2 linked regions of the Cricetulus griseus genome follow. Each later gene encodes a partner of the first gene's protein in a complex. Links are inferred from orthologs where the notes say so. Each region holds a gene or a part of one and is shown in the gene's direction. Other genes may lie near its edges. The genes, in order: Kank1 and Eif4a1.

Region 1 (3,821 bases):
TTCCCATTACCGCCAAACCTTGTTAATTGACACTGGTGAGAACGTGCCATCCCAGAATGCAGCTCTGGGTCACACTACACATAAAGTGAGAGGGCAGTACAGAAGGAGCCCCTTGAGAAAGTGACCCTTCAGTAATGTGCCCAAGTGGGACAGCCCCCAAATCACTTCCATCATCAAGATAGTATTTTTGATATGCCACTAACACAGAATTCACAACTCAGTCCAGTGAAGACACAATGTCAACACCTGATTTATGTGATGAAATTCCCTGGTTTCCTTGATTGTCTCTTGATGGCCTGATGCACATTACTCCATCTCGGAGCTGTTAATACAGAGAAGAAGAAGAATCCAAGCATGCTTATCATTTGTTACTATTCTCCATTTCTGTCTTCCTTTTCTTGGTGTGGGGGTGTTGGAGCTATGGCTAGCAGCCTTCTGCATGCTGGACACGAACTCTCAGTGAGCTACTACAGGCTGCATGTTCTCTATTCCAGTGCCCACATAAGGGGATAACTGCTTCCATCTGTAAACTTTAGCTGGGGATACTGTTAAACTAGGGACGTGGCTGATACCCAGGGATGCTGAGAACAAGATTGCAGCATTGCTCTGGAAATAAATGGTTTTTTTTCTGCCCTAGAAGGGATATCTTTTCTTTTTTTAAGATTTTATTTATTATTTTATATACAACATTCTGCTTCCATGTATATCTTCACACCAGAAGAGGGCACCAGATCTCATAACAGATGGTTGTGAGCCACCATGTGGTTGCTGGGAATTGAACTCCGGACCTCTGGAAGAGCACTCAGTGCTCTTAACCTCTGAGCCATCTTTCCAGTCCCTAGAAGGGATATCTTGGCAAATTGGATTGATTCCGTTGTTAGGTGGTTTTAGTTAATTACTTCATTTACATTTTTTATTGCTTACTATTTTGAATAGATTTTGGCTCCATAAAATGTAACACTGGGTGCTTCTGTGTGGAAGGACTGAGGACCTTGGGTACATGTGTGTACCCACTTTGCTACCAGCAGTCTTTGCTTCCTACACATAAGTCCTTCTGTACAGTCCATTGTGTTATTATGTAATGAAGTGGGGTCCTGGGCAGTTTTCTCCTTGTCCCGTCTTACACTTGTAACTTGATACTTGCTCAATATAAAAGCTACTTTCCATTACTCTTCATCCTGGTGTTGTATTAAAGCCCTGGAACACTTCTTGAGGTTTGAGAACAGAAGATCTGTAGCCTATGGGGTCAGGTAGTCTTTGGCACTTTCTATCTTGGAGGACTTAGTGCGTTAATATTGATCTCACAGAACAAGCACTAGCATTAGAAGTCTTGTGATTGCGTTTCTGAACATGTGCCGGTCTAGATCCTCACTAGGGCTTATGCTCCAGAGCGAGTACACTTAGAACGTCCTCCCACACCGCCAAGCTGTCCCACCAAAATCACCGGTCACAAGCAGGGCACACTGCAGTAACTTACTGCCGTTTCTGCTGCTACCAGCGCTCTGAGACAGGGCATAAAGACAAGTGTTTCCTTCTTAATTGTCTTCATTCCCAGAGCACTTTTCCCAGGGCTCTTGTAAACGCCACACTTCCTGTGAACACTTGCTACTCTAGATGACTCTCTCTAAAGAGATTTCTTTCTTGTAGACGTGTGTAACGTAGATCACCAGAACAAGGCGGGGTACACGCCTATCATGCTGGCAGCACTTGCAGCCGTGGAGGCAGAGAAGGACATGCAGGTTGTAGAAGAACTTTTTGGCTGTGGAGACGTGAACGCCAAGGCCAGTCAGGTTGGTGTCTTGCTTACTATGCTAGATATCCCTGCCCTGGCCAGTGTCTGATGTGACCAGGTTGACAGAGAAGTACTGGTGGCACACTGACAGCTGCAGTCCGTGTACTGACCAGCACAGCAGTGACACGTGGGTTCAGTCCCACAGTGCAAACATCTTCCGGCTTTGTCTGGCCGCCCAGGCAGTGTGCAGGGAAACCACAAATATGCTTATATACAAAGGACCCTACTGTCTAGGGTTCTCACCATATACTCATTGCCTACTGATTCCAACTCTCTTGCCTTCTTGGCTTTATGCCAGACCCAGAGCTCTAAGCCTAAATGTGTTCAGAATTTGAACCTCTTTGGAGCTATCTACCTTGCTATACTAAGACATCCTCAGAGTTCTAGTGAAAACCTGACTCCATCCTATGTGCTCTTCCTTAGCTCCTGGCTCCAGTGCCTTTGTGTGTCATCTACTCCACCCATCCCCCAGCCTTCCTGCTCAATCTGTACTTCTGAATCTGACCCTCATTTCTTTCATAGGCAGGACAGACAGCCCTCATGCTGGCCGTCAGCCATGGGCGAATAGACATGGTGAAGGGCCTACTGGCCTGTGGGGCTGATGTCAATATCCAGGACGACGAGGGCTCCACTGCCCTGATGTGTGCCAGTGAACATGGGCACGTAGAGATTGTCAAGTTGTTGCTGGCCCAGCCAGGCTGCAATAGCCAGCTGGAGGACAATGTGAGTACCACTGGGCCTCTAGCCAGAGGCGGGCGGGTATGGGCCCCCTCTGTCCTGCTCTTTGTGGACTGGTGGCGTCCAGACCTCTTCCTTTTATAGCCCAACTGAGCAGCATTTACCATGTATAGTCTGACACTACATTAGCCAAGAGCAAAAATAAATAAATAGACCTCACCCTTGAGTTCATAAAAGGAAGATGATGAGAACCAGTGTCCCTTAATGGGAGTGAACAGGTCGGCCCTACAAAATCACACTCGGCGGGAACAGTGTGTGAGCAGTCTCTCGGTAGAAATCTGGGGATTTTTTCCCTTCGATGGACCACTTAGCCATGCAAATGCAGTGTCACAGGGGAGCCGCCGTGGCCTAGCAACATGGATGTTCTGTGACTGTACATTTTCCCACTTCTGCTTGGTCTGTTTCCATCACCACCAAATGAACCTTCTCACTCAGCTTCTAGTCTGTCCCACTCCAAGATAAACCTTGCAAGAGGACAGGCCAAAGAGACCATGCACTTGCAGGCAGAAAGCATAGTACTAGCACTTGGGCTGTGGAACCGGTTCAGGTCAACAGAGGTCAGACCAGGCGGATCCTGGTTTTGAAAGTTTCTCTCTGTGGAACACGGGTTCAAGCCAGTGCTTTCCTTCATTTCAAAACACCATAAAGTTAGTTACAGGAAAAATATCCTCCTTTGCCATTAATTCCAGATCCTGCTGGGCTCACTCCAACAAGCAAAGCAGGGGAGGTCTTCACTAGGTAGAAGGGCAACCCCCTCCCGCCTCCAGGGAACATACAATTCCCTTCACTTGCTCTGGGAGCGAGAGTTTACAGCTTGCCTTTCCCCCACTACAATCTCTGTTGTGTGTGTTTGGGAGTTTGCTCAATTGCTTTCTTTCTAAAAACTTGTCTCTGTAGTAAGAATCTATAACAGTATGGAGACCAGAAATCCTGGCTACCCGGCTGATTGCTCACTTCCTTATCCATTCACAAGTAGGCCAACCTTCATCTGACCTCTAGAAGAAAAGCTGCTCCCTGGATTCCCAGTGTGGGAGGGCAGGGTGCTAACATTCAACATGGGAATCGTTTCCTGTTGCTGTGATCAAAACCAGACAGGAAATAAGCTGCACTGTCCTCTGCCTTAGTTCCTTCATAGCCAGTTCAGGCCCTGCAATTTAATAAAAACCAAGCAATTAACAAAATGATGTTTCTATCTCATATGCAGTGTTTCTCCCCTGGTATTTCCAGAAGATACATGCATGCATGCAAGCTGGCAGGGTGGAGTGCTTGTGTGTGAATGTGACCTCCAGCT
Region 2 (2,943 bases), on another chromosome or scaffold:
CTTACATTGTTGTGTTCATAATCCCAGCCTTTGGAATGTGATGGCAGGATGGAGCCTGTGAGTTAGTTCTAAGCCATAAGGGCTGGCGTGGCCTGGCTTGGTATTTTAGAGGGTTTTGTGTAGGATGGAAAACTTAACTGTTAGCCTGTGTTCAGAAACAAGGATTCTGCCATTTGTGTGTGGGGGGGTGTCTTAAGGAGAGTTTTAGATAAATGGATTAAAGGGGAAAGTAACAAACTTCCAGGTGTATATAGCCGAAGCTAACTTAGTTGTCTTTTGTTTAGATTCAAAAGGTGGTCATGGCATTAGGAGACTACATGGGTGCCTCTTGTCATGCCTGTATTGGAGGCACTAATGTGCGTGCTGAGGTGCAGAAGTTGCAGATGGAAGCTCCCCATATCATCGTGGGCACCCCTGGCCGGGTGTTTGATATGCTTAACCGGAGATACCTGTGTGAGTGCCATTTTACAGTTGTCGCACTTTCCTAGGATGTTAGTTGCTCTGTGATGAACCCCATGCGTGTCATCTGAGCCCAGCTTCCCTGTTGCCTTAGCCCAGGTAGTGTTCTACTTACCAGGACTATTTTCTGGCCTGGCAGGGAGGCCTTAGGCAAAGGATCAATCCTTATATTCTGAGAGCAGACTGCTCCTTGCCTGTCCCTTTACTAAGGGACTTAATTAAATGTTTCACATTTCTCTTATTATGTGTTGGTATCTTTTCTGTCTTCCTAGCCCCCAAATACATCAAGATGTTTGTACTGGATGAAGCAGATGAAATGTTAAGCCGTGGGTTCAAGGACCAGATATATGATATATTCCAAAAGCTCAACAGTAACACACAGGTAAGCTGCTGTCTTCATAGGATAACCCATGGCTTGGTTGTGATGTGAGGAGGACAAGCAACCCTTATTGCCATCCACTTTTCTCTCCCCAACTAGGTAGTTTTGTTGTCTGCTACAATGCCCTCAGATGTCCTTGAGGTGACCAAGAAGTTCATGAGAGACCCCATTCGGATTCTTGTCAAGAAAGAAGAGTTGACCCTGGAGGGTATCCGTCAATTCTACATCAATGTGGAAAGAGAGGTGGGGCCTAGTGCAGGAGGCGGACCTGGTAGTAAGTTGTTGGGTATAGCCCCTGACTGATGTTTCCGGATCTCCAGGAGTGGAAGCTTGACACATTGTGTGACTTGTATGAAACCCTGACTATCACCCAAGCAGTAATCTTTATCAATACCAGAAGGAAGGTGGATTGGCTCACTGAAAAGATGCATGCCCGGGATTTCACTGTTTCCGCCATGGTAAGTTTTCTCAGATCTTCTAAGTAGCTGTGTGTGCTTGTGTTTTAAGCATAGAATGCCAAAAGCCTTGTGCTACTTGTTTTCTAGCATGGAGATATGGACCAAAAGGAACGAGATGTGATCATGAGGGAGTTCCGGTCTGGTTCTAGCAGAGTATTAATTACCACTGACCTGTTGGTGAGTAGAGGCCTGTTTCAGGAAAAGCAAGAGGGGTGGGAGGAGTTGAGTCCAAGGTGATTCCCTCTCCAAGGGGCTGACTAGTGCCCCTTTCAGGAACGTAGCAACTTGGAAGAAAACCTGGCATGCCTGAGGTCTCTGGGGGAACAAGAGATGCTTGTTTGTTGCCTTTCCCTGCCTTGGCTGCCTACATGTATTCCTAAATCAGTTGGACAGATTGTACCCTCTGACAGTTCTGTGATCTTTCTTGACCTAGGCCAGAGGCATTGATGTGCAGCAGGTCTCCTTAGTCATCAATTACGACCTTCCCACCAACAGGGAAAACTACATCCACAGGTAAGTAAGGGTCTGCAGTGCCAAATACCCAAGCGCTGAAATCCAAATGTCATCCTCTTTCCCCATTCCATTATTATCCCTTTTTGCCCTTAGAATTGGTCGTGGTGGTCGCTTTGGCCGTAAAGGTGTGGCTATCAATATGGTGACAGAAGAAGACAAGAGGACTCTTCGAGACATTGAGACATTCTACAACACCTCCATTGAAGAGATGCCCCTCAATGTTGCTGACCTCATTTGAGGGGCTGTCCTGTTACCTGGCTCTAGCCAGGGTTCAGTCCTGGGGGGCTGAGGAACAGCTGGAGGGGGGAGGGAAGGGAGCCAAGGGATGGACATCTTGTTTTTGTTTTTGTTTTGTTTTTCTCTCTCTCTCTCTTTGAATAAATGTCACTTTTTGAGGCAAAAAGAAGGAACCGTGAACATTATAGATACCCTTTTCTTTGGGGTAGGTTCTGCCCCAGGCGCCGTCTCCTTCCCCCAACCCCAAAACACTAATCCATTCCCCTAACCTGATTCTAAAGACTTTCCTACTACCCCAGCCAAATCTCCAAAAGTGAATCAAGGGGCTAAAACATGTCTGGCCTCATTTGCTGGACCAAATCTACAGGGAGAGTCCCTGCATGAAGTTGTCCAGGGAATTGTCCCCAGGTGAGGGGAGCAGGGGAGAGAAAATGGTAGCCATTTTTACATTGTTTTGTATAGTATTTATTGATTCAGGAAACAAACACAAAATTCTGAATAAAATTACTTGGAAACTGCCTGTTTGGGCTTCTTGTTTGTTCCTCTCCCACCTGCTGTTTGTGTGGGTCAGCTCCTATAGTGGTTCATTACTGTGTTGTTGCCTCCTGCTGGTGTTCAAAATATATCAAGTGATCCACTATGTACTGAAAACTGGTACTGACAGTACAGGACCCTTCACAAAACGTTAGTCACGAGTATCACATGATACTTGAGGAACTGAACACAGTAATGGGGTCAAGAAGTCAGCAAAACCTAGTTCTGCTTAAGATCCCAAAGTGCCCAACACATGTGGATGCTGACTGCCTATCTTTGGGGGTGAGGATTTCCCTGTAGCTCTTGGTATCATGGAACTAAAGTGAAGACCAGGAGATGCACACGGGTGGGGCAGGGTTCCTA

The links.
Region 2: the proteins of Kank1 (region 1) and Eif4a1 are in contact, whole or in part, in a crystal structure (PDB 7DDX), measured with the Mus musculus proteins. The link is inferred for Cricetulus griseus from reciprocal best matches to the Homo sapiens genes KANK1 and EIF4A1. Residues at the interface, in NP_852069.4 of Mus musculus: Gly1168, Asn1169, Asn1171, His1175, Tyr1176, Val1178, Asn1201, Lys1202, Ala1203, Tyr1205, Met1209, Leu1210, Leu1213, Ala1214, Ala1215, Gln1240, Ala1241, Leu1248, Ser1251, His1252, Arg1254, Asp1273, Glu1274, His1285; in NP_659207.1 of Mus musculus: Lys99, Val140, Arg141, Val144, Gln145, Lys146, Leu147, Gln148, Met149, Glu150, Ala151, Arg168, Arg169, Tyr170, Ser172.

What each region holds. Positions count from the first base shown.
Region 1 is NC_048596.1:35,876,554-35,880,374, reverse strand, and holds part of Kank1 (KN motif and ankyrin repeat domain-containing protein 1), read left to right. Parts: intron 1-1,647; coding exon 1,648-1,790; intron 1,791-2,314; coding exon 2,315-2,515; intron 2,516-3,821.
Region 2 is NC_048600.1:83,511,429-83,514,371, reverse strand, and holds the end of Eif4a1 (eukaryotic initiation factor 4A-I), read left to right. Parts: intron 1-284; coding exon 285-453; intron 454-498; exon of another isoform or gene 499-639; intron 640-731; coding exon 732-841; intron 842-937; coding exon 938-1,081; intron 1,082-1,158; coding exon 1,159-1,296; intron 1,297-1,383; coding exon 1,384-1,473; intron 1,474-1,522; exon of another isoform or gene 1,523-1,668; intron 1,669-1,729; coding exon 1,730-1,809; intron 1,810-1,902; coding exon 1,903-2,047; 3' UTR 2,048-2,215; downstream 2,216-2,943. UniProt on the Homo sapiens protein: ATP-dependent RNA helicase which is a subunit of the eIF4F complex involved in cap recognition and is required for mRNA binding to ribosome.